Neodiprion lecontei: one gene and its partners. The protein of the gene in region 2 purifies or fractionates together with the protein of the main gene of each other region. This does not show direct contact. Links are inferred from orthologs where the notes say so. Each region holds a gene or a part of one and is shown on either strand. Other genes may lie near its edges. The genes, in order: cold shock domain-containing protein E1, serine-threonine kinase receptor-associated protein and SUZ domain-containing protein 1.

What was found.
Region 1: the proteins of serine-threonine kinase receptor-associated protein (region 2) and cold shock domain-containing protein E1 purify together in Homo sapiens (affinity purification with mass spectrometry; 3 studies listed by BioGRID and IntAct, counting the BioPlex papers as one, with this or other methods). This does not show direct contact. The link is inferred for Neodiprion lecontei from reciprocal best matches to the Homo sapiens genes STRAP and CSDE1.
Region 3: the proteins of serine-threonine kinase receptor-associated protein (region 2) and SUZ domain-containing protein 1 purify together in Homo sapiens (co-immunoprecipitation; 3 studies listed by BioGRID and IntAct, counting the BioPlex papers as one, with this or other methods). This does not show direct contact. The link is inferred for Neodiprion lecontei from reciprocal best matches to the Homo sapiens genes STRAP and SZRD1.

What each region holds. Positions count from the first base shown.
Region 1 is NC_060261.1:6,943,054-6,950,896, reverse strand, and holds the start of cold shock domain-containing protein E1, read right to left. Parts: upstream 4,372-7,843; 5' UTR 4,262-4,371; intron 4,236-4,261; exon of another isoform or gene 4,139-4,235; intron 4,077-4,138; exon of another isoform or gene 4,057-4,076; intron 991-4,056; 5' UTR 1-990. Other genes in the region: selenoprotein K-like, read left to right, coding at 4,946-4,964, 5,053-5,134, 5,923-6,021, 6,588-6,684; probable palmitoyltransferase ZDHHC24, read right to left, coding at 7,620-7,843. UniProt on the Homo sapiens protein: RNA-binding protein involved in translationally coupled mRNA turnover.
Region 2 is NC_060261.1:3,932,758-3,942,197, forward strand, and holds serine-threonine kinase receptor-associated protein, read right to left. Parts: upstream 5,675-9,440; 5' UTR 5,186-5,674; coding exon 5,068-5,185; exon of another isoform or gene 5,001-5,067; intron 4,937-5,000; exon of another isoform or gene 4,673-4,936; intron 4,580-4,672; exon of another isoform or gene 4,532-4,579; intron 4,295-4,531; coding exon 3,996-4,294; intron 3,906-3,995; coding exon 3,676-3,905; exon of another isoform or gene 3,623-3,675; intron 3,488-3,622; exon of another isoform or gene 3,301-3,487; intron 3,095-3,300; exon of another isoform or gene 3,072-3,094; coding exon 2,935-3,071; intron 2,583-2,934; coding exon 2,374-2,582; 3' UTR 1,742-2,373; downstream 1-1,741. UniProt on the Homo sapiens protein: The SMN complex catalyzes the assembly of small nuclear ribonucleoproteins (snRNPs), the building blocks of the spliceosome, and thereby plays an important role in the splicing of cellular pre-mRNAs.
Region 3 is NC_060264.1:3,068,857-3,076,287, reverse strand, and holds SUZ domain-containing protein 1, read right to left. Parts: upstream 3,476-7,431; 5' UTR 3,325-3,475; coding exon 3,262-3,324; intron 3,192-3,261; exon of another isoform or gene 3,169-3,191; intron 3,086-3,168; exon of another isoform or gene 3,049-3,085; intron 2,672-3,048; coding exon 2,601-2,671; intron 2,541-2,600; coding exon 2,339-2,540; intron 2,215-2,338; coding exon of another isoform or gene 2,177-2,214; coding exon 1,985-2,176; 3' UTR 1,399-1,984; downstream 1-1,398. Other genes in the region: 40S ribosomal protein S15Aa, read right to left, coding at 120-252; glycoprotein-N-acetylgalactosamine 3-beta-galactosyltransferase 1, read left to right, coding at 6,091-6,121, 6,408-6,586, 6,971-7,178, 7,267-7,405.

The DNA of each region.
Region 1 (7,843 bases), about 3.0 Mb from region 2:
ATTTATTATTTGACTTTGAATTATTTTATTTAATTTTTTTAAATCTTCTTTTGAATTTTTTTGTTTTCGTTTTTATTTTATTTATTTTTTTTGTCGTTTTTTTTTTTCTTTTTAAATTGTGTTTTTTGTCTTCGCTTCTGCTCCTTTGCAATATATATACTTATATTTAGAACTTTTAGTCTTTTCAATTATTTAAGTGTTAACATAGATATCACAGAATGGTTCTTGGTACCTTATATATTTGTTTACTATTACAACGTTACAAGAACTTAACAAAGAGGGAGAAAGGCGTGTTTTTTTTTTTTTTTTTTTCCTTTTGTTTGGAAACGCTGCTGAAATGCAGATTCTCTTGTGACCGGCAACTAGGGAGGAAGGTGACACGGGTATCTTGTTAATTGTGGTAGATTGTTTAACGAGAACTACCACGGCTGTTCTTATTCTTAGCAAACTTGGCACTCTCAAATTGTGGATAATTCTTTTGTCCCATTAACAGATCAAATTAGCACAATCCCAGCCAAGGCAGCAATCACAATCGCAGGGTCACCACTACGCAGAGTACCTAGCTCCTTTTCATTAAGCGGGTTGCATACACAGTTTACAAACGAACAATACGGTTAGCATGAGTATTTCGAATGATTAATATGTGTACAAAATATTTTAACACATCATATCATACGAACAATACTTTCCACGAATCTTTGCATTAATAATATCATAACAACTGTTTGATAATTACTAAATTTAGCTTGTTCGAGAATAACTGTGTTTTTCTTAAACATCAGTCATCCTTTATAAAAGGAATAAATCAAAAACATTGGAGATTTAAAGGATAAATGTTGGCTTGAAAATCCTCAGATGTCTTCAATGCGTGCTGAGTGTGGTTGTGTCGTTCCAATAATTCTAGAGTATCGTTTTCTTCTTCAGCTTTTAAATGTGGAATTTACAGTGAGCGTTGATTTCAAAAATATCCTAAACTAACAATTACACAATCTGGAACAAAAAAAAATAATACAATCATGAATCAACTACACCAATATTATCTAATCTTAGGAATACTACATCAAAGATACTTTGGATAGTAGTTGAAGTAGATATTGAACTGGAGTATTGTTATTTTCAAATATTTTTAGACCAAGAGGAGTTTGTTTATAACAGTTTTCATTCGTTGTGATAGTTTTTTCTTTTAGCAGAATCATTAAAATAAATTTTGGAATTGCTGGAATTGTTTTTTTTTGTCCTAACAAAACAAAAGTTCACCAATATTCTTAAAACTAACAATTTTTTTTGCTTTAATGCTTCATCATCGTCTTAAAACACGCCACTATAGATAGGATGTCTCTGGAAATTCGAGCGCAATAATCTAGATCAGAAAATAGAAATGAACTGAATGAACGGAAAACACGATGATTAGCGGCGATATGTTTTCAGAAAGCATTAATGTAGAAATGTGTGTACTGTTTTAGCTTGTTGACAGTGTCAGTTCTCACGTTGGGTAAAATTTTTTGTCTGTTTTGATGGAACACTGAATTCCTACCATTTTAGCATATGCGACACACGGTATAATAATTCACACGTAGTGTCTGTTAAAATCATGTGCATGTGGGATTTGTGCATAAAGTCAAAAATTTATGTTTAGATAATACAGTGTCGAAAATTGTCATATGATTCACGTTGCTGATAAAATAGAAAAAACAGTACTTGATGCATAATCAAAATTTAGAAGTATTTTGAGTATTTCAGACTGACTTAAAAAAATGAGTGGTTCTGAATAAATGTGCTCAAATTACAACGTATTGCTAGTCACACAGAGTGATGTGATTTGAGCTGTTCTCTAATTGACATGGTGAAAAGAATTTATGCAAATCTTTAGAACACGAGTAGATAAAATTAACGTTTACGTACACTGAATTAAACGTTTTTATAATGGACCATGCCTATGATGAATCTGAGCACGAAAAATTGGATAAAAGTCAGAAATAAAACAGTAAATCGAAAAACAGTTTTGAAAGCTTAGTATTGCCTGAAATTCAGTAAATTGTAATAAAGCAAGCTAAACTCATATTTTGCAAACTCAGCCTCTTAAAAGTAATTCTGAGGTTGCAAAAAAATGGTTTAGAGAGAATAATGTTTCATTATGTTGACTTTACAAACTTCATCAATTATTGTTTGTCTAACTTTCCAGGAATGGGATTACAGGGTTGCCCCTGCTTTTCTGTTACACAATTTTCTAATATTTCTAGTAACTCAGTGCTTGAAGTTTTTCAATTTTCTAAGTACAGCGTCGGTTATGGGGGTGTAGGGTATGATATTTCTAAGAATTTGCATACCTCCACTAAAGAACTTGAGGTAGATTTATATCGCTTTGAACTGAGCCTCTCGCAATAGGGCCATCAAAAATCTGTAAGGGCTATGCTGTTTTCTTCCAACAATTTACTTTCATTGCCGGCCGTATTGCGAGAGTATCTGGCAAAACTGTGGCTACGCTATATTCAACTGGAATAGTGGGAAATCCTGCTGAGGGAAGTGGCCCTATTGCGAGAGGCACTATCGAGAGAGTCGGCTATACGCTATTCCTTTTCTACACATAATAGAGATATTGTTGCCAAAAAGTGATTGATTGTTACAATTTGATATGGTAAATTTGTGTAGGGGAGGGGCTGAAAAACATTAATTTATGATTCCTGTTGCCAAAATTTTAAGGAATAATTTTGCCCGTTCATTTAAATTTTAAACATTGCTGACAAAAAACAGAGTTAATCAAGAGTAATCAAAAAACTGAGATTTTTCTGTGTTCAGTAATTGCAGGTTAATTAGACAACATTTATAGGAAATAAGTAACTTCTATCAGCTTATTATATCGACTGGATCTTAAACATGAAATATCTTTACTCATTCGATATGGCAAACATTTGAAGATAAAAACTTAAATTTCCAGATTTTCGTGAACAGAAATCTCTGATTTTTTGGCAATAATTTACATTATCGTCGACGAATATGATGAGTGAATCTTACAAATTATACCAGTAGTAACCTGAATTTCGAATCTAGGTAAACAAACGTACTTAAGTGACTGATTAAGCAATGGGAATGGTCATCATCTAATATGAGTTGCATGAAGTGTTCTAAGTTTTTGTAAATTTAATTCAATCTTTGCCGAGATGTCTTGATACATGAGCGCCATCAAGGACCACTTTAAACAGGTTTGCATCGAAATTTCGCATATATATAAGTGAATGCAAATATTCAACTTAGCCTATTTTGCTTGCTCCAATGACATTTCAAACACAAGTAATATAAAAAAGAACCTGGAAATGCACTTTGCTCTTGAATTCAATTTGAAATAAAGTATTAAAGGAACTCTCAATAGATTGAAAGCGAATGTAGGTTGGCATACTGTGCTACTTAGAACAGTATGAGCATCGTCATCGTTTGAATCTTAGACAACATCAGTGACAGATGGTATTATCTTTGAAGCAGATGATACATTTATTTAACAACTGTGAAAAGTGTATTGTTTCACCAATTCTCTTTCTGTCAAATGTAAAATGACTCAATCTATATTACCAAACATTACTCATTATCAGAAATTATTTAATTTGTTATACATTCAAGCCAATGAAATAGTAGCAACAACATTGCGAAATATTTGGTAGATTACAAGAGCTTGTCGTGAATGCAATGTTTGCAAGTTATTTGGTAATGGATATGCGGGCTACGCAACTGACGTGAACTGGTAGTGATTAGAAAAAAATGTAAGTAAATAGGATACGTTACTTTCGGAGTACTTATTGGACATGCAAATCATTTGACTCATTTGATAAACTACAACGTGCTTATCAAGCACAAAACGCTATAGTAACTGTATTAGTTTTAGTAGCTGTATAAGAAATTGGAGCAAGCAGTGTCAACCTGGCCACAGAAACGGTGTATGATTGACCTCACACGAAAGTACGTTAGTAAAATGTCCATGATGGAACGGCAGTTAGTCAGTCAGAACAATTCAATTTAGATACGCGTATGTTGATTTATAGTCGAAAGTTTCACAAAATATTGTACCGATGTATGTGTTGTGTGTGCTTCATTGTGGAGTATTTAGATTTTTTCTAACTACATTCCGTTAATTGGTATATCATATTACTTGATTTGTATTGAGACTCGCCGCAGCGTTACTGAAGAGTACTAAAAGTTGTATAATAAAACATTGTAAACTAGATTTAAAGTAACGAAGACACATAATCTTAAATTTTTTTACAAAACTCACCACGACACAGCACAGCACTGACGACATGCCGCCATGTTGAATGTCAACATTTAGCATTCACATACAAAACAAGAGCAACTGCGGAGAGATTCGGAACCACAGCCTTCTTGAGATACATCGATTATCCAGGACCCAAAGAGTATGGGATAGAGTGGATGCCAGGACCCTTGAAGTGTATGAACACTGGTGACGTCGGCGTAAACATTTATGGACAAATTGATTAATTAGATTTAATATTTTACGGCTACTTATTCTCGATGTTAGGTGGCCGTGAGCCAAAACTTTCAAGAGCTGAAACTCTGATTTAAAAAAAATAAATGAATAAGGCATTGTAGTTTACCTGATTGTAAAGTTGCATTCATAAATAATAGTGTTACTTTTGTTGGAGTACGCTGATTATTTATTTCACGTTTCAATCAAATTTGAATTTGAATTTTATGACTTTTTAAAGCCTTAACTCGCAGTCACCAGCGGGACGCTGTGGATACCAAACATGACGGATCCGTTTTGCTAGTGATTCTACTACATGCATCGAGTAAGCCATGAAGTAACTCCCGCGTGGCATCATCCCATTATTTCTACATACGAGAGGTCACCAATAGTGGCAAATGACAGCAGGTGACGGAAAGACGTCGCTGAGAAAGTGATAACTGACAAGTGTTCGCGAACCTCCAAGAGTGCGACATGGCTTACGTTTCTCAAGGTAAACGATATATTGACAATTATCGAAAATAAATATTAAAATGTCAAAAACCCAAATATAACGTAAAAAATTTTATACCAATTCTCAGATGGATCTGTGCTCCAGACTGAACCCTGGCCGCGTAGACTGGTTTCATTTTTTTTGGGAATTTTCTACATGTTTTTCATGTTGTAAGTAATAATGACATTAAGCATCCTAAGAGCCCCCCTTTTTGAATAGAAAAAACCCATCTAACCACTGCAAACGGATAGTAGGTAGGCCCACTTTTGGAACGTTTGTGATATGATTATTAACAGGCCCGAGGAAACTGTTTCAAGTTAATTCGTCATTCTGATCCAACGGTAAACTTTTGATTGAAAAACAGAATTTTTTATAAATTACAAGTGTGTAACTTCCCTTGACAATATTTTGATCCAGCCAATACTCGAGGTTATGTTCTGCAGCTAGAACATGCTTTAATTTTGTTTATCAATCAAGAATTGCCCTATACCATTTATTACCAGCATGCAAAAAAAAGTTTATGTAGTACAGAACTCTTATTCATATTTTTATTACACACCTGCTATTAAAAACAGGTGTGCAAATAAATAAATAATTGCATCAAAAGAATCGCTGTCAAACCTGTTACATTCTTCAGAGGTATTGAAGAAAGCAAAATCCATTGACAGAATTTTGTGACCTCATACTTAGATTCACAATCCGATCACTGCCGATATAAATTAACAATTAAAGACAGTTAGGTACGTCCATCTCAAAATTTTGAATGTGATATAAATAGAAGAAGCTATTTCAATATATTTGGTTGGATACTTTCATTCTTTGAATGGTCACAAACTTTTAAGCCGACCAACAATGGATTCCTGTGGTACTATAGTTGGTTACTGATATAAATTTATATTATTAATTCTGAATGATACGAGTATAATTTCTCATGATGATAGAATTTATATATTTATAGTTTCAAGTCATTCGTCAGCCCTGTTTTAAACGCTGTTGGAACATCTGAGGATTCGTACAATCAGGGCACATACAGAAGGGACTACAGGCCTGGCTCAGGGTACATTACAGTATTTATTTAGCTTAAGACTTTCTATCGTTATTAAATTATGCTATGTACAGTATGCTTCAGTAAAATGAAATGGATGATGCAATTCAAAGTTAAGAAAAAAGAATTATACTTTTTGTAAATTATGTATGTATTCATGGCATGTTCGTACACCATAGTCGTGGTACTTTAACATCACTACTTCATGCACAAAAGCGTGTTATTAATCACTTTTATTGCAATGAATATTACTCTTATTACACCAGTTTAATGAAATTTAAGATGATCGATTGTATCAGTTGACTGTGATCTAGTGATTGACTTGTTTTTTTTATTGGCCATGTTTATACTGCATTGATCTGATACAGAACAGGATTAGACAATCAATGTAGGCAAAGCAGAGAATTTATTTTAGAATCTTCCACGTGATTGGTGAACTAGAACTCAATGCAGACAAAAATGACTATTTATTGTCACTCATTATCTGAATTAACAGAATTACACATTCATTTCGAACAAGATATGCATCAGAATTGATTTGTGCTAAGAGCAAGTTTGAGATTTTTTTTTGTATTTAGTCCACCACGTCCACCTTCGCGCAGACTTGGGAGACCAAATACAGGATCATCCAACATTTACACTCCGGGACCATGTGGTGGATGCGGTTGTGGATAAAATTGAGAGCTGAATTTCAACCATTCTTTTCAAGGCATTCACATTTCAAATCACTAAGTCAAATTAAAATCACATGATATGAAATGAGATGGTTGTAAGCTATCTGATGGAAGTAACTGAACTTGTTAAATTTCCTAAATCATATGAAAAATTTAAATACTAATATATTATGAATTATGAAACTAAATGAATACAGTATATTACAGGGAAAAATTTTTTTGTAAATAGAAAAAAAATTTCAAATACATCATTAACCAGAATGTGCTGTGAAATCAAAAGTACCCTGAGAATTCCCGTTTCCAGAACGATGTTTTCCATACTTCTAAAATTTACTCCACTTTCACTGAATGATTATATAGTCTTCCTAAGTTATGTTTGACGATACCGTTTCCAAAACCAAAAACATAAGACATATACTTTTAAATGATGAAACCTTATAATAATGATATATTAAGAAAAAAACAATTCGTGACTCCAGTGATTATAATTCACTAACTAGTGTTGAGGAATAAAATTTGTTCATTGCAAAAGCTGAATGGAATATTGATAATATTTAAGTTTTTAAATTTCTATGTTTGTGTGTGTTCCCCTGCAAGGCACAGCATTTTTCTAAAATGTGCAAAAAGTTGTTTCTGGTTTTTGTGTGTACTGAATGAGATTAATGTCGTGGAAGAATTTGAATGAAAGTATTGCACAGACTAGCAAAATTTATCTCATAAGCAGAAATGCAATTTCAACACCTATATTTCTAACTACAATTCGTGGGGAATGTGTTTCTTAAGATAAATCATTAATATACATCAATTTATAGTTTTTGTTCAATAAACAATGACCAGATGATATAGTTTTTCCATATCTTTTACAAATAATAATAATTTGTTCTTGAGGTTGTGAAACATATTTAAGAACAGAATCACTGCCATGACAAAACAATTTTATCTAGTTTTTTCACTGTTTTGTTTCCACGACGATGCCGTGTCCCAGATGATACCATCATGAGGGAGTATAGACTCAACGTAAGGATTGAATAAGGCAAAATACCACTTATGGCCAAAGACTTCAAGAATGTTTTGTTTAAACCCTAAGTTGTAAGAATAGTCTTTTTTGTTCTTCTCGTTGCAAACCAGTCCTTGAAAAATGAGATGAAAGTGGTAGACGC
Region 2 (9,440 bases):
ACGCGTGTAAAAGCTCAGAATTTATGCGACAATTCATTCTGTTTCCTGTGTTATTATCATCGCGGAAATATTCAGTCCGTTAGGTATCATCACCGTAGTAATCGCTGTAGGTCCCAAATTGATACTGTTCTTCGGACGGAATCGTCATTCCGAGTTAGATTATGTCAGGATCTAGATCGGCAATACGCAGTGACGTGGATTGCGAAAAGTTCGGGTCATCTGCTTGACGTCGGAAAGAAAAGGTAGAGTACAAATATAACTGATTGTGAGCCCGTTATCGTTATACCATATTTCGTTATTATTATCCACTGACATTAGAACGGGAATGTTTGAAAATCAATCAATCCTGAAACTTGTTCATTTCACAATAGAACTGACACATAGAAGTATGTTATAATTTGGGGAAACCGTTGATAATTTGAAGATACTGTGACTTGTATATCTACCGTATATATTGCTGTGTATTTTTTATTTTATGTTTTTATTTTGGTCCCTCATAATCCGGTCATCGCCCTGAAAAAAATCCACAGCAAAGCAACTCGATATGAGGATCGATTATTTCTGTATGAATAGATATACATACTATATATTATATTATACCTATAAAAAAGTTGCCTGTACGAAAAATGTAAATATAGAAGATAATCCCGCGGTATTTAGTTATTATAGAAAATTAATACCTATGTTATACTTCTGTGTATAAATCAATTACGATATCGACGGTAGGTATAAAATCGGCCCCGCGTGGTTACGCATAATAATTATATTTTGTTTCTGCAATAATCACGCTAAATTGTGGATACAATAATTTTTCATGTGCGAGTGTTGTATCCACAGTTAAATTTTTGGTGATTATTTTAGAAACGATAGAAAGACGCCGTGACGGCTTGTTAGGAAAGCTGCATCTACTACAGAATACTGCCACAGAATGATGTTTCATTATTTTTCAACAATCTTTTAATCCGGTTGAGAAAAAAAAAATCCGGAATATCATATCCTTATAAAAATTATAATAAGGACATTGTTACACGTGCTAGAATTTATATAATATATGTTATTAAAAGTATGTATAATAATGTTATTTACAGCGTTTTCTATTGTACTAACGAACGCTGTTTGTATAGATTTTAATTTGTACCTAATTATTGTTTTGTTTTTCTAAATAAAAATAGATAATATATATATACATATACACACGCATAGCTATAAGCCGCTACAAATTCTCATAGTAACACTATACACATAGATATGATATCACGTGTATGTGTATATTAATAATAAATTTTAATTATTATTTTTTTCTAAAATACACAGGTAATAGTTTCGTCTTTATTCGGTTCATCATCATGTAATACGATTTCATTCGACTGTAACATATTGTATTTTGGACGTATACGATTCGGAAGTAATGTTATTCTCGTACAGTATTCTTGATAATGAAAAAAAAAAATTCAGATCCCTAACGAACGCATAACGACGAATATAATTCAATGATTAGGATGATTTAGCTGATTCAGTTGTTTATTAGACTTTTTTATTTCACATCTTTTTATAGATCATTGAGGTGCTTAAGAAAAAAAAACGTACAGACGAACGATTATTACAACTATATTTTCGGGACCTTATAAATATGAGCATGAATATTATGTACAGAAGATTTCTTCATAAGCTTCCCCAAGCGAAAATACAGTTTGAATTATCCTTCGATACGGGAAATTTTTTTAATTTTCTTTTATTTTTCTGCTTTTGAAAAAAAAGGTGTACAATATAGTTTATATGGCATTATAACTATACTGCATGTCTCATTCAAGTGAAAAAAATTAATAAATACAAACTCGTAGTTCAAAAGCTTCTCATACAGAGTCACCGATATGACACGAATTAACGTAAGGTCACTTTTGCTTCTTAATCGCTTTTCCGCTCAGCTCTTTAGGAAAAGCCGTTCTAATAGAAACGATATCGAGATGAGTAAAATCTGAAAAGAAGCTTGATGGTTGTTCAATAAACTTTTAAGATTGCGATAACTGTAAATCTTGAGAACATATTCAAACGCAACCAAGAGCTTTGGAATATTATGAAACTTATTCCAACAAATACAAGTTTCTCAACGTTCATTTTTCATATTCTCCTATTTCACACTTTTATGCTTGATGATGACGAGCAAATTTTCAATTCCGAAGACACCAACCTTCAAATTAATTAGATATATAATTTGGTTTTCTTCTAAAATTTATTTTGAAGGATTTCGCGCGTCTGTTATCACGGAATTTGGAATTTTTATTGTTGCCAGACGTTTATCCCCGCGTCAAAATTCATCCTGGAATAATCTAACGGTCAAGACTATCATCTGAGGTATGAATTGAGATATGGCGTTTAGCTTGCCGAGACCTCTTGCTTGTTATTGAGTACAGCATTTTCTGGAATCATTGGAGTTTGTTCGATACAACGCCATAGGCCGTAGGTTTTTCCAACGGTAGTTTGCCAAAGCCTCAGCGTCCCATCCTCAGATCCGCTCGCGTATAATTCACCATCCGGAGAAAACCGAACGCAGTGAACAGGCCCAAAATGTCCCTTGAAAGATTCTGTAAACATAAAAAAATAAAAAACACCACATCGTGAGGAAAAATTTCGTCACTATAAACTATGAAGAATTTTTCTAAAAATCAGTTAAATGCACGAAGTTCAAGGGGAAATAAGGCACAGGATTGAAGCCTCTTAAGAATGGCCTTATATTATAAACGCCCAGGCATGCTGCATGCTGTGACCTCAGTTCTGTATTGTCATTCCGTTGTTGGCTGATGAGAGAATTACTAATTGCGGTTTGCTGCTGCGAGAATGAATAATGAGTGTAGGTAAACAGAAAATGTACTTATACGCTTAGGGAAGAATTTTATGAAGTAAAGTAGGAACATTGATAAATGTTAAATACCGTACCGATTTCTGCTCCAGTGCTGTAATCGAATTTGTACATTTTCAGATCTTCTCCTCCGCATACAAATATGCTGCAGTCTGGATGTAAACTTGCGCTGTTCACTTGAGTAGGAACAATAAACTCTCGGATCTTGGTCAACCTGCAATCAACAAATCGAGTCAGGTGAGTAGGATACAAACTTTTCAATGCAGCAATATTTTTTCTGCTAATTCTGGAAGAAATGGCAGATGAAAAAAAAAAAGAAAACGAGTAATGCCGATGCATTATTCTCCTTCCTCGTGTTGTAAACAAGTTGCCTGTGCCAATTGCAAGTAGTTCTCTTTACCAGGAGATGAAAATAAATGTACAAGAGCCCAACTTCCTTCTAGGCCATGGCTGTTCAAGCCAGGGACATTGCTGATCAGGAAGTAAAATGGTCTTCATTATTTGAAAGTAAAAACTGTCCACTCTGGCACGGAACCAGACCTTGTACATCCATAAATGGCTGGATATCTTTCATGGCAAATACCTCTGTTCCTGTTGCACTCGATACAGCGCAATGAAAGTTCATGTTAGGTATGTACCGTTACCTCTAATCTTTTCTGAGCCGATGAAATCTACAATATTCAACGGCTGCAAATCGGAATTTCTTGCGTTGTTGACTGCCTCAGAGATTATTTACTTTTTTTCATACGACAATCGGCGATGCAGAATTATAATTGAACTTGGAATCCAAGTCGGGCGGAGAGAGGGTTAATACTCACTCTTTGCTATCCCAAAACGTGACGACGTTAGAATGAGTTGTCGTAATGATGTTGCCATCTCTGGAGACTTCCATCGAGCTGGGTGTAGCTGGAAAATCGAGTCTTTTCACTTCTTGCCCGCTGTTTCTATCCCACAAACGCAGGCTTTTGTCATCGGCACAGGTAACCAAAGCGGTATCATTTTTGAAAAAAGTTACATGCCTTATGCCACTAGTGTGACCGGAAAATATCTGCAGGGTAATAAAATACGTAATTAGTAGTCAAGTTATACTTTCCCAATTGTCTTTGGATTTTTATATTCCAAACAAATTTATACTCACTTGCGGCGTTGCTTCCGGCTTGTTTAGATCGTAGATTTTGACTAGCTTTTCATTGGAACCAGTACACAGGTAATTTGAGTCAGAACTGAAGTTGACAGACTTAACTATATGCTTGTGCTGAAAGGAGTGAATTTCTTCACCCTTTATCGCGTCCCACACCTTGGCATTGAAGTCCGCAGCGCCTGTAGCTGCTCTGGTGGCCTGTGGGTTCAAAGCGACACCCCACACTGCCCCTTTGTGCCCCTCAAACGTGCCGATCCAATCCCCAGTGTCGCCCTGCCGCAGCATCGGCTTTCCATCTGTAAATAATTATTCATATTTTGTTACCGCTGACATATTCATATACTCATTTTTCTTCCCATTTTACAAATATTCGGCTCACTAGAATGTTTGTCAATGTGTACTACGATGATATATCCTAGATTTTAGCCATATAGTGGTAATTTCTTCTATACAAAATAGAGACGACGTTGAGAGAGGTGGGGGAGTGGGATTATTAGGCATGCATTTCTAAGGTTTAGTTCGGGGTCAGACACCGTAGATGTGAGGGATGATCCCGCATGCGACACGTCTGGCGACAATAGGTAGGTAGGAATCGGTACGCTCAGCTATGAGGCTGTAAAATTTTTCTATCGAACTTATTTCTAATTTATTGATTTTTTCTCATTGGCAACAAGAATTCGCCGACACGCTGATAAAGCTTGTAGCATAAAGCGTGCAGCGTCCATGTGCACCTTGTGCATGTGCCTCTGTACACGAGTGTAGCCTGGGCCTTGGGCATATCGTTTGAAACTAGGCCAAGGCGAACCAGAATGGAATGGACAGCCAAAGCGTGAAAGAGGGAAAAAAAAATAAAACATTGTTTGAAGAGGAGGAGAAGAGGAGGGGTAAGGAATTGAGGAAGAAGAGGAATTTTGCGAAAAAACAGGCATAAATGACAGGTAAAACCTAAGAGTGTCTAACGAAAAGGCGAAATATGACGATGAAGAAATAATTCAATTCCAGATTGACGGGAGAAATGAGTGGATTCGGAAGCGCATAAGCGCGTAATCGAGGCGTTATTTATCCTTACCTTTGCACGCCGAAATTAGGTAGTAGCCGGACTCCGTAACATCGGAAAAGGCTAGATGAACGACGGGTCTCGTATGCCCGCTACAGGTTAACGGTGTCTGCCTCAAATTCGCCATCATTTATATTTTAACGTGTTGATATGAAACGCACGCTGTCGCCGTAAAGCGCGCACTAAATATCAACGCACAATGACGAGAGTTAAGTTTACTGGAAGTTTTTTTGTATTTTTCGGCGCCGATTCCTCGTTGTGGAGACGCAACGGCCTCTCGCACACGATGCTTCGCCGTCTTGACGCTCGTAGACGTTTACTATCTTGTCTCTTATTCTTGAAGCCCGTAGTCGGTGGTAATAATCGAAACGATCTGACCGACTGACTGACGACTCGACTCGACTCGACGCGATACGCAGCCAAGTTCAGACTTCAGGGTCTTTGGCCAGGAAATCATGGCCGCCAGTCCTCCCTGCAACTGCGAAGTGCAACGACGACGCTTTCATGGACCGACCATGAAATTTCTATCCAAACTTGACGCCCCACACTGCAACTTCTATGTCTTTTATTTTTTAACCGGTAGTAAAACGCAGATCGCGACGCGCACACACAACGCGAAAGGACGCTGTCAGGGCAGCCTCTTTGTGCGACTCGGCTGTTTTCGAACGTGACATTTTTAAATAACGAATCTGCAATGATTATAATGCATCCCAAGGCGAACTTGTTCCGGTAATTTTCTGCTCCGGTTTATGGTACTCGTGTACACACGATCAGGTCTGGATTTAATGAGAAAAAGTTTACCAGATTAGAATTATGAAAGTTCGAAGTTGGTCGCTACCCCTGGAACCTAGCAACCATATATACATTAACGCGGACAGTAATACCAGTTGTCTGCCTGCAGGAGCCCCAATCCGTAAAAACAAAAAAAAATTTAGAAAATGGACTTGTATACTTTCGGATTTTTTCTTCAAACTTTACAAGCATTTTATAGGCGATTATTCAGAATCCTTAAACAATTATTTGTATTCATTTAGGAAGGTGTTACAGCACTTTGAAAATGACTAACGCAAGACTGTTTTTAAAGAATTAAATGATAGCGTTGCAGTCGTTTGTTATATCCTAGAAAAATGTATGCCTAGTTCTTCAAGGCATTCAGTACGTGTAAGAATATTTAAAAAAAAGATTTGGAATTATCTTCTAAATATCTTTGGTATTTTTTCGCTAGAATGATGAATGACGTTGCAATTGTGCAAGAAGTATTACTTATAAGGTTGATCAGGGACGGTCTTTAAACGATTGCATGCAATATCAATCTTGCAGATGATTGTAAATGATTTTTTTGCGCATTTACAACCGTCCATAGTATGAATAATACGAAAATAACGAAAAAAATTAGGATCGGAAGGTAAATGAAAGAATTCACTCGAGGGTAGATGTTCTCCTTAATTTTATTCAGTCCGATGTATCTTTAAAAATAGAATTAAAAAGTTCTATTTCATTTACTACAGAGAAAATGTACGTACATGTGCAGTTCGCATTAAAGAGATTTCACTCAAGACATGAGAATATAAGCCTATCATTTTTCCGGTTCCCCTCGCCTCTAAAATTTCAAGGGTTGAAATGCGAGTCAGCGTGAAAACGGGTTTAATTTGAATGGCCGGAAAATTACGGTGACATTGATATCCCGCGGGCCAGTGAAGAATGTTCTTCATTTCGAAGGACTGTACGGGGAAACTTTATTTGCAAGAAATTAGACGAGAAATGAACTAGGTTTCGGGGTTATTTGGGATATAAATTAAGCGAATATACCGTACACTGCATACGCCGGAGAATCCAAAGAATTCATACGCGTCATTCTACATCTGCTATAATGACCTGTCGAATCGTTCTATGGATTCTTATCACCGCCAGTAAAAATGATTTACACGCAATAGTCATTTTTTATGACTATTCATTTTTACGGGAGAAAAAATATTCCAAAAGTCTGCCTAATCGTCGAAGTAAAACACGAAGTAGAATAATAACGAAATCTAATTAGCGCCGCGAAACGTGGCATCCGATCGCGAATCAGGCATCGATGCGTAACTGAAAGCAAGCTATTTTAATTAAATCTCAATGTTCTAGATAAAGAGGATATATATTTGTATCAGCAGATTGCAGAAATATATGCAGAGGGGGGTGGCTGACTTCACGCCGATAGAAACTCTTTGCGAGGTTCTTCATATTAATTAAAACACACCGATACACGTGCAAATTTTATACATGAGTTTCGCGCTCGCTGATAACTTGGGTGAATCTGAGACCCAGCGTTAATTAACGGTCATAAAAAATATACTTCATGTATCGTAAATTGAAAAATCGTAATTCGTAAATCGATGAAAAATTATTCCCTCGCACACCTATTTTATTACAGAAATTATTTCGTTCCGATGCTACGGAGCGTTTTACTTTTTCACACCATATCGTCGAAGGAATAATATTTTCCTACCTAAGTCCTTTTCCATTTTACGCGGGTCCATACCATCTTTTTTTCGTTGTCTTTTTCTTCTTCTTCTTCTTCTTCTTCTTCTTCTTCTTCTTCTTCTCGTTCTACTTCTTCAGGATGTTTAAAGAAAACGAGGTGAGAATCGGTGGAGAGTGAATAGAAAATGACAAAATGTTTGGAAGAAAAAGAAGAAAGAAAAAATAAAAGAAAAAAAAAACGACAAGTGAGAGGTTTGCTTAAGACGCCGGGACCACTGTGGCGACACTTTTTAAAAATTTAATTAATCCTCTTCCCGTAAAATTGTCGGCGACAAAAATATTGAACAGCGAAATTGAACTGCTGAGCAAACTCCGCAGTCGCGTGGGAATAAATGCGGTGCGAGAGGCTTTGTACCGCATAGAACAACATACGCACGGTGTATTGACTCGGTGAATATTTAATCGCAGCTTTCGTTATAAACGACACAGTTTACAAGTGCGTGACAGCGGGCTTATAGGAATATTTCGAGAACGCAATTTCAACAATCAAAGCGTAAAGCGGAAAACGGTACGGAATGAAACAAAAAAAAAAACAGCAAAAGAAAAAAAAACCACCCAACACCGTCAACGCTGTGAAACAATCATTTTCGCCGAGTGGTCGCTGATCCAATTTTCAGATTAAATCGTGAACGTTGTTCTGCAATTGCGGGTCGAAATGATTCTACCGTGAGTAATTGTCGAGTTTTGAGTAACGAAAGAGAACAAAAAAAAAAAAAAATTTCGTCCAGGCTTACGGTTATAAAACACGAAAAGTATAACCTGGTCAGTCAGTTATTTTCACGCTGGGCTGAGCTGCGCGTGCAGCAGCGTGCAAAAATTTTATTTACCCCGCGTCTCCGCAAATTCTCTTCGCCCTGCTGTAATATACGGCAAAATTTGTCGGTTTTTTTTTATTTTTTTTTATTTTCTTAGAAACGCTACACAGGCATCGCCGATATCTGTTGTATTTGAAGCTATGCGGCTCTGTGTCAGCAATTTGTAAATTGAAATTGCCAAAAGACGGTGAAAACAAAAAAAAAAAATTGTAATTCCACTCATGCTGCAATTAACTCTAAATCGACATGATCAGCCTTCGTCCTTGTTAATCAACGTTGGATGGTATAAATTAGTTTAATCAGATGAAAATATTATCTCAACCGATATTGTTAAAAGGACGAAAATCATATTATAGAGAAACGGCATATCAACTACGATCTGTGAGAAAAAGTGAGAAAAAAAAGTTGTTGCCGCCTCTGGAGACGAGAACGTAAAGCAGGCAGCGTTACCGGGGGTTGAAAGCGCCTGCGCGGCGCAATTGTGTAGTCACGTGATCGAATTCGCACACAAACACACTGGACGAAACATGTATTGCAGAACCGAAAGATTCGAGCTCTCGTCTCCGCAGTCGGGCTTAGACTCGCGTCAGGGGAGCTTGTGGGCGAATCCCCTTCTAAGCGTGCACGATTATTTAAAAAACGTAGTAAACAAATGAATAATATTAGCCATTCGACGTACAGGTTTACGAACGTAATTCGATAATGGATAAATTCGAGTGATTTGAAAACGGTATTATAAAGAAATCTGTGCTGTTTGACGTTGTACGGATAAATCTGTTCAAACTTACGGCGGGAAAAGTTGTTCGTTTGAAAACAAAAGAAACGAAAACCGAACAAGACGTAGTTTCTTTTTATTTTTGTGTCCAATATTTATTTTCGTTTTTCGGCTCATATTTTGTGCAAATATGATTATGACCGTGAAGTTTTTACTGATGGTTGTTGGGCTGGCGGGAAACCGTTGCTATGGAGGTGAGTTGAAGAAATATTTTTTAATAAAATAACAGCGTATGTACGTACATTTACCGACGAAGCAATTGTAGCTTGAAT
Region 3 (7,431 bases), on a different chromosome or scaffold from region 2:
GTACATTGTTCAAAGAAATATTTAGGAGTAAATGTCATACCGAGAAAGTTAGCACAGTTTCACCATATCAAGCACTTAGAATTATATATTTTGAATGGACGTAAACTTGAAGTACTCACCATGCTTCATCATGACTGTGAGGAATTTTACGATCACTTTGGAACAAGGGCGAAGCAGGACTTGCCTCTTGCCACGTTTCTCGGCATTGTTGATCGACTTGAGCGCGTCGCTAAGAACGTTCATACGCACCATGGCTGGAAATAAAAATATGGTTGTTGAGTATTGAGCTTAATACTACCTGCTTTATTTGAAACAAGTTGCCATTAGTTAGCTGACAACTGAGAAAGTGTACGAATAACGATAAGTATTTTGGTAGAGAATCAGTGCTGTGATTTCTGAAATAGCTCAGTGATTATAAATTATCGTATAGAAAAGAGACTCGCGTCACCCAAGATCATGATGACAGTAACATAACCTAAAAAAAAAAAGAGTAACACAACAGTAATCGGATTTGGTGACATCAATATCAGAACGATCAGACAGGCTTAGGCTATGCAAAATATCAAAGATTAAATTGTAACTTTTTCATGAACAAATTATTTCACAATATTCAATTAACGAGAACACGAACACAGAACATCACGAGTTGAATGCTCCGGCCTGTTGGCCAGGAATCGCGTACACGATGGGTATTTGAGAAAGAACGTGGAATAAAGACGTATAAACACACAACAGAGGTAACTGTAACGTAATTAATCTATTTCCACTTCGGATGCAGAACAGTTTTGTGGATTACCTGCGATTTATATTTTGTTTACCACAGCGACATTCACGCTCGGTTATCGCTAGCGAAAGAAAGATTCCGCAGGCGCAGAAGGTACAGGAAGTTCCCTGGACTAATCGATTTTCGAGAGTAACCAATCGAGCAAAGCGAGACTATCGTTTTTCTGGACAAACTTATTTACTTCCGGCGCCGAATCTCAGATTTGAGTAGACTCTCTACGTAAAACCGTGCTCATAGTAACATTTCGCACTTCGGAATTGGCTACAATTTTATTTAGGCCACGAATCCTTATATGTATTTCAGACCGACACGCTCCTACCGCTTAGATCTGAATAAAACTCAATCAATAATTTTGCACTTGAAACTCCGCTCAAGCGTACAATGGAATACACAACATGGATAATGGAATAGTATAAAAAATTTGCGGGTAGAATTTTATACCAGATTGTTTCGTCAATATTATTGTGTACAATAAATTTTGAATAAGGACAAATTTCGAACCGCGGTATTATGCCGAAGATTTTTTCCACGAATCATGCTACTTCTAGCTTAAAATTAGTCAAAATATTAAAATGTTGCTGGAGGTTGGAGATTAATTGGAATATCAATAGTAATACAACAGGAATATTTTATATTATTGAGGGTATTATGTACTAGAGTTCTCGATATCAGCAAGAATATTCTTGTCAAGCATCCCGATCAAGAAGAAACGAATTTCTACATCTTTCGTCCGCTATTCAGAAGAGATATAAATTTTTTTCCTAGTTCTGACGATCCCATTTGAATCAAGAACCTCTGGTCCATTTGTAACAGAAACGAGAAAATGAAAATAAAAAAAAAAAACTTAGTAAAAACAATGTCGAATTGGTATTATGTGAATATTTGTTTTGTGTAGTTTTTTTCTCTTTTCTTTTCTTTTTTGGCAACAGTGTCACGTTATTATGTAATTAGTATTTGATATTATTGGTACGTGTGTTCGGCGCTGTGCAATATGCGGTGGTGCGCTGTGGCCTGTTGGACGCAGATCCAAGCAGACTCCTTGTTGTTTCCAAGGACGTCACGCTCTCAGTTGCCAAGAAGCGCGAAGCTGCTTTCAGAATTCTGCGGTCGGCCTCATAGCCGCCTCTCCGCCTCCCCTGGGGCAGGGGAGGGACCAAGAGGATAAAGATGGGTGACGAGGGAAAAACCCTGGTAACAGCGCTACCTGCGGACATGGAAACCTCGGGTTCCATCAGGGCCAATTGGCATCCGTAGCACATTTGTAGGGAGATTACTCCCTGGAGGACTCGGTGGCTTTGGCTGGATCTTGTTTACTTCGCAGACCGATTTCTCTTCTGGACTTTTTTCCTCTCCCAGAATACGTTTGCGTGCCTCTGCATATTCTTGCTCCCTCTAAAAGTTACTCCATCAATTGAAGAAAGTTGTTTCTGCTAGATTTTGTTTATGTCAAATAATTACTAGTTTAATTGGAAATTAGACTGATTCATTTTTGTCTTAAAGGCTGATTGTAATGAGTGAAAAAGAGACTTTCTGGAAATGCGGATCGACATATACCTGTTTTAGGGATTTTATCGGCTGCTTCGGTTTGCCATCTCCATTGAGGAGAGGCCCGTCTCCGCTGCCTTGGGAATGCCTTGCTGGCCTCTTGAGGATCTTCACTGTAGGTTTCGGAGGGACGTATTGAGTGCGCAAGCTATCTTCACCAAGGATTATCATCCTTGTACTTGAATTTTCAGTACCTGTTAAGCTGTGCCAACTGAGATTAGGCAACGATATAATGAAACAAAACATATTTTCGAAAATTTGAATATATTACCTCTGGGGTTCAACATCGTCCAGACCTTCCAAGGGATTCAATTTTAGTGCCTTCAACTTTTTGTCCAGCACCTGCAACAGCATAAAGTCATCATCTATCATCATCATTCAAGTGAGAGATGAGAATATCACACTTTCTCTTGCAAAATATTTTTGTAGAGGATGTAACTTGTGGTCGCTGGCTAAAACATTAACCCTTGAGTACTGCACCGAGTTACGTTACAATAGTCTGTTTGTAAAGCGTGCTAAACTTGTCTTCATTTCAGTTCATTTATCATATCACGGGTACTAGAAGTTGCATGTTATTCTTATGTATATGTTCTTTTTCTTTACTGTCTGGCGTATCTACAAGAGGAATAAATATTTTTTATATCGGTATAGTTGCAACCAGATATATATAGGTAAACGGAGATGCTGGGGTATGCTATCAGTGTCTGACGAATCCATGTCGCTGGCATAATGTGGTGTTCATGAGTTGAAACATAGGTATACGCATGCAAATATGCAATTTCTTAATGCGAATTCCCGACATTGCCTTTTTTTATATCAAACTCTTCGGAAATGACACGATTCACCTGTACGCAGGTGTGCGGTGTGTCCATGTGTACGTGTGGGTGTTTGCATATACATGAACGCGAATGGGAACCAAAAATAATACATGCCTGATGACAAAGTGACTGGACTTGTTCCGGATTGTTGAACGATCTCCGGGTAAAAGGATGCATGCAATAGAGAGATTTCGATATACTTTTAGATATGGTGCAACTGGATAATGGGGAAGATTTTAAGAAAAATATAGGTTAAAGTGAGTGGTCTCGAACGGAAGAATGTATACGGGGTGCGTGTCGGATATAACTGAAGTTGCATGGCTCCGAATTGATATTGTACATCAGCATACGCTCACCCCGGATTCCTCCATTTCTTCCCAGCTTTCGTAGACATCGTCGACAGCTGACATTACGGGCGCTTCTGGCGATATTAGGATCTTCCGAACAGCTAACGAAATCTGTGACACGACGACGAGCGCACCACCAGACTTAGAAGCAGTTAAAAAAAGAGGAAAAGGCTCCGTATGCCCCTCATAAAAGTTTTCAACACTCTGAACTCGTCGCGGTTTGTTCGACAAGTTAGCCAACGTTACGGTTTTCACGCGGCCCGCACAAAATTCCCATAGCTTCATTACATACGAATTACATTATTCGAATCGTAAAGAATTTCCTCGATTTCCAAAAATTGTTATTCATTCGGCAACTAGATTTTTTCCCTTATAATTATCTAGCTTGGATTTAATCAATTAACCCATCCCCAATTGTTCTGCACTTGCGGCATCTCGTGTCTGCGGAAGTTCAGACCATATTGGTTCAGACCAGGAAGTTCGAGAGGAGACGAAACTCCGAAATACCAAGTTGGGCCAGGTTTCAGCGCAGAGTTAATAGTGCCGATTTTATTTGAGTTATTTAGTCGTTTAAATGTTACGATTATTATATGGTTTACATATTTCGAATGACCAAAGAACAGGAACGCAATGAGTGGCAAAAATCGGTACTACTATCTCTGCTTCTAAAATAGGTCCAATTTTTGTTAGCACGCAGGCTTGAGGCAGAGAGCTTAAGGTTCGTCTCCTTTTCTCTTACTTCCTCATTCGGATATGTTCAGACCACTAGTAGTTCCACTAGAGTCTGTTGTCTCTCCTGCTCTCCAGTGCTCCAGTCCACTCCAGTCTCTCGCGGGCTGTTGTCCGTGTTTGATGTTCATTTATGATGCCGTTTCTCGTAAATAAAGTGAAAAAGAGGAGGAAAGTCGACGATATGGAATAGAGTAATATTTTGCAGTTTCTCTTTCCAGATCGTGAAAACTTGTATAAATCTTGTAATTAGCTCATCGGTAAAATACCGTAGAATTTTATAGGGAAGTAAATCGGTAAATGCGAAACGGAACGTCAGCTGCAAGGAAAGTGTTTTGACACATTTTTCAGTGCCGGTACGTAAATTTTGACCTTTGGTAATTATTCATGATTTAATTGCTAGGGTCGGACGAATATCTGTCCTCGCGAATTAAAATGAGAGTCCGGTTTCGAGAAATCACGTGTGACGGTGTGTTTGCCACTAAGAAGTAATAAATTATTGATTTCTTTATGAGGCTATTTTATGCCGATTGTAACACCCCTTTTTATAGTTTCTATCACTCTCGTAGTACAACGTCCTGCTACGTCTGTCTTATCGCGTTTTTTTATCATCACGCATGTTCAGAAAATGTGCTCGTGGAACGATAATTAGAGCCCAATGGAATATATTCTTGTTCATCAGACTCCAAATTAGCTCCATTCTTTAATATTTTCTTCAGAACTGTTTTTCAGTTCCAGTAGGTAAACTCGAGGAAAACCATACTAATATATTGTACAAATGTACACCTTCGAATAAGCTGCACACAACTCAGTGTCCTAATATTTATCATTTGTTATTCTTCGATAAATCAACCAATGTATATACTTTATTAGTTATTTGTTCAATTGCGATAAAGAGTCGGTTTACGATGCATATTATGTTACCCTATAAAAAAACTTTTTGCTGCAAGGAAACATTATTGTACACATGGTGTAAATTATTTATAAGTGTAGTACAGGTTCACAGACTTGTGCAAATAAATTCAATTATAGACATCAAAAACCAAATTCAATCATAGTATTTGAGGAATATAAATGTGCTATACTCAATCACAAAAAATAAATTGTGAAACTTGCTCAATGAATATGATTGTATTTATACAACACTTAATGCACATTCATGGGGGGGGGTTTATTTTTTTCTCTTTTATCTACTGATAAACAAAGAAATTAAAGGAAAAAAAATTAATATTAACGGTAGAAAAAAACTGATTTGAAGGTACACACATTTTTCTCATACGGTTTTTTTGAATTCCACAACAGGTATGCAGTCTTAATGTCGAATAGAATTATATTTTGCTATCTGTAAAATGTGCTTGTCTAAGCAAAAAGTACTTTGATGAGCTGCTGAACGACACATTTCCACTTTCTAAACCTTGTAGACTGATGACTGGACGTAGTGTTATTGTTGTTATTAATATGATCAGAGATTTTTAGTTTTTCTATTTTCTACATGTAAATCCTGAGTTTTTGAATTCGTTTTTGGAACTGATTATTTTTCGTCGTAATCAATTGGTTCATGAAAGTAATAAAAAACCGTTGATACATATGAACTGATTCACAGGATGTAGTTTCTTTTTGAAGCACTGATTAAGTGCATTTTGTGATAAAGCTGATAATTATTTTTTTCAATATTTACAGTTAGTTCCAAACTCCAAACACAGAGAGCGAGAACTTTTACGTGAAGATTTGGCAGTGGACCAAATAGATTGCCTACTTGTGTATCCATACCCAACAATGATTATCTCTTGCACTACATACGCGATTTTCATGGAATTACATTTTGTTTTGGGCTAACGTAAACATTGGGTAAAAAAAATTCTCTATTATGGGACAGCAATGGATACCGGGTCTAGATGGTAAGTTGTTCAGAAACATTTATCTAACATTACACGGTAAGTCACCAGAATCAAAAACCAAAATACCAGTGAATCTGGAAGAACTATAACTAGAATTGCAATTATTTTCTCAAGGCCTTGTTTCGTTATACCACTTTGCCTGTACTTTTGTAGATATGTAAAACATTGTCAAGTGCAACGTTAAGATCGTAAACTGCACAGTCCTCTACTCTGACATTAAATACAATGAAGATGGCGGAGGTGGTGGATTTAAGGTGCTACGAATATTTATTATTACTGATATTAGGTGGTCGTGGTGGTCGACGATTTGTACTGACACTTGCTACAGGAATGGTTTTCGGGTTTCTTTCGGCTTGCTTCCTTCTTGCAGCAACAAATGATGCTCCTCGCATGTTTAACTGGATCACTGGCAGCCCTGCGTTATCTTCCAGAGATCCTCATCATTACTCAGAGCTTGAATCAGAGGTATTGACTAATCCGTCATAGAACCCAATCCCAAATGCATTACTAACTCCATAGTTATACTTTGACTTCCTTTACTCTAAAATGGAACAAAAGCTAATAATTATATCAGTCACTCGTAGAGCTAGATCCAAAGTTCCCAAAAACTTGTAGTATCTGATTATATTAAATACGAAATTCAAAATGAATCTCACATCAGATCAGGATTACTCAATTGTAATGTATTGGCATCATTCACCGACATTCTTCACATCGTGCAGGGTTACTGTTTAATTCTTGTTGTCTACCTCGTATAACAGTAAGGTTTGAATGTAAAGCTAAACTAGGAAATTATATTGGAGTAAGAAATCACGAAATATAATGAAATGAAAGTGATTTTACTTTCAGTCAGGCCCAGAAACGGATGTAAAGTTTCACGGAGCTGATGAAGAATTTCACAAAGGGGAAGATGAGGTTGCCCAGGAAATGGCAAAGAAAATTAGGGTTCTTTGCTGGGTAATGACTGGTCCAAAGAACCATCAAACTAAAGCTCGTCACGTGAAAGCTACTTGGGGTAAACGATGTAACATCTTGCTTTTCATGAGCTCAGAAGCAGGTAACGAATAATTCTTAGCTCCAAGAAGGAACTTTTTATTTCAAACTAAAAATTATTCAAGTTTGGAAAATGTTTTTTTAATCCACAGACACGAGCTTACCGACTGTAGTTCTTCCTGTTAAAGAAGGAAGAGACAATCTGTGGGCAAAAACTAAAGAAGCTTTCAAATATGCATATGAGAATTACAAAGACAAGGCCGACTGGTTCATGAAAGCGGATGATGACACGTAAGTATTCATTGTGGTTTACATTC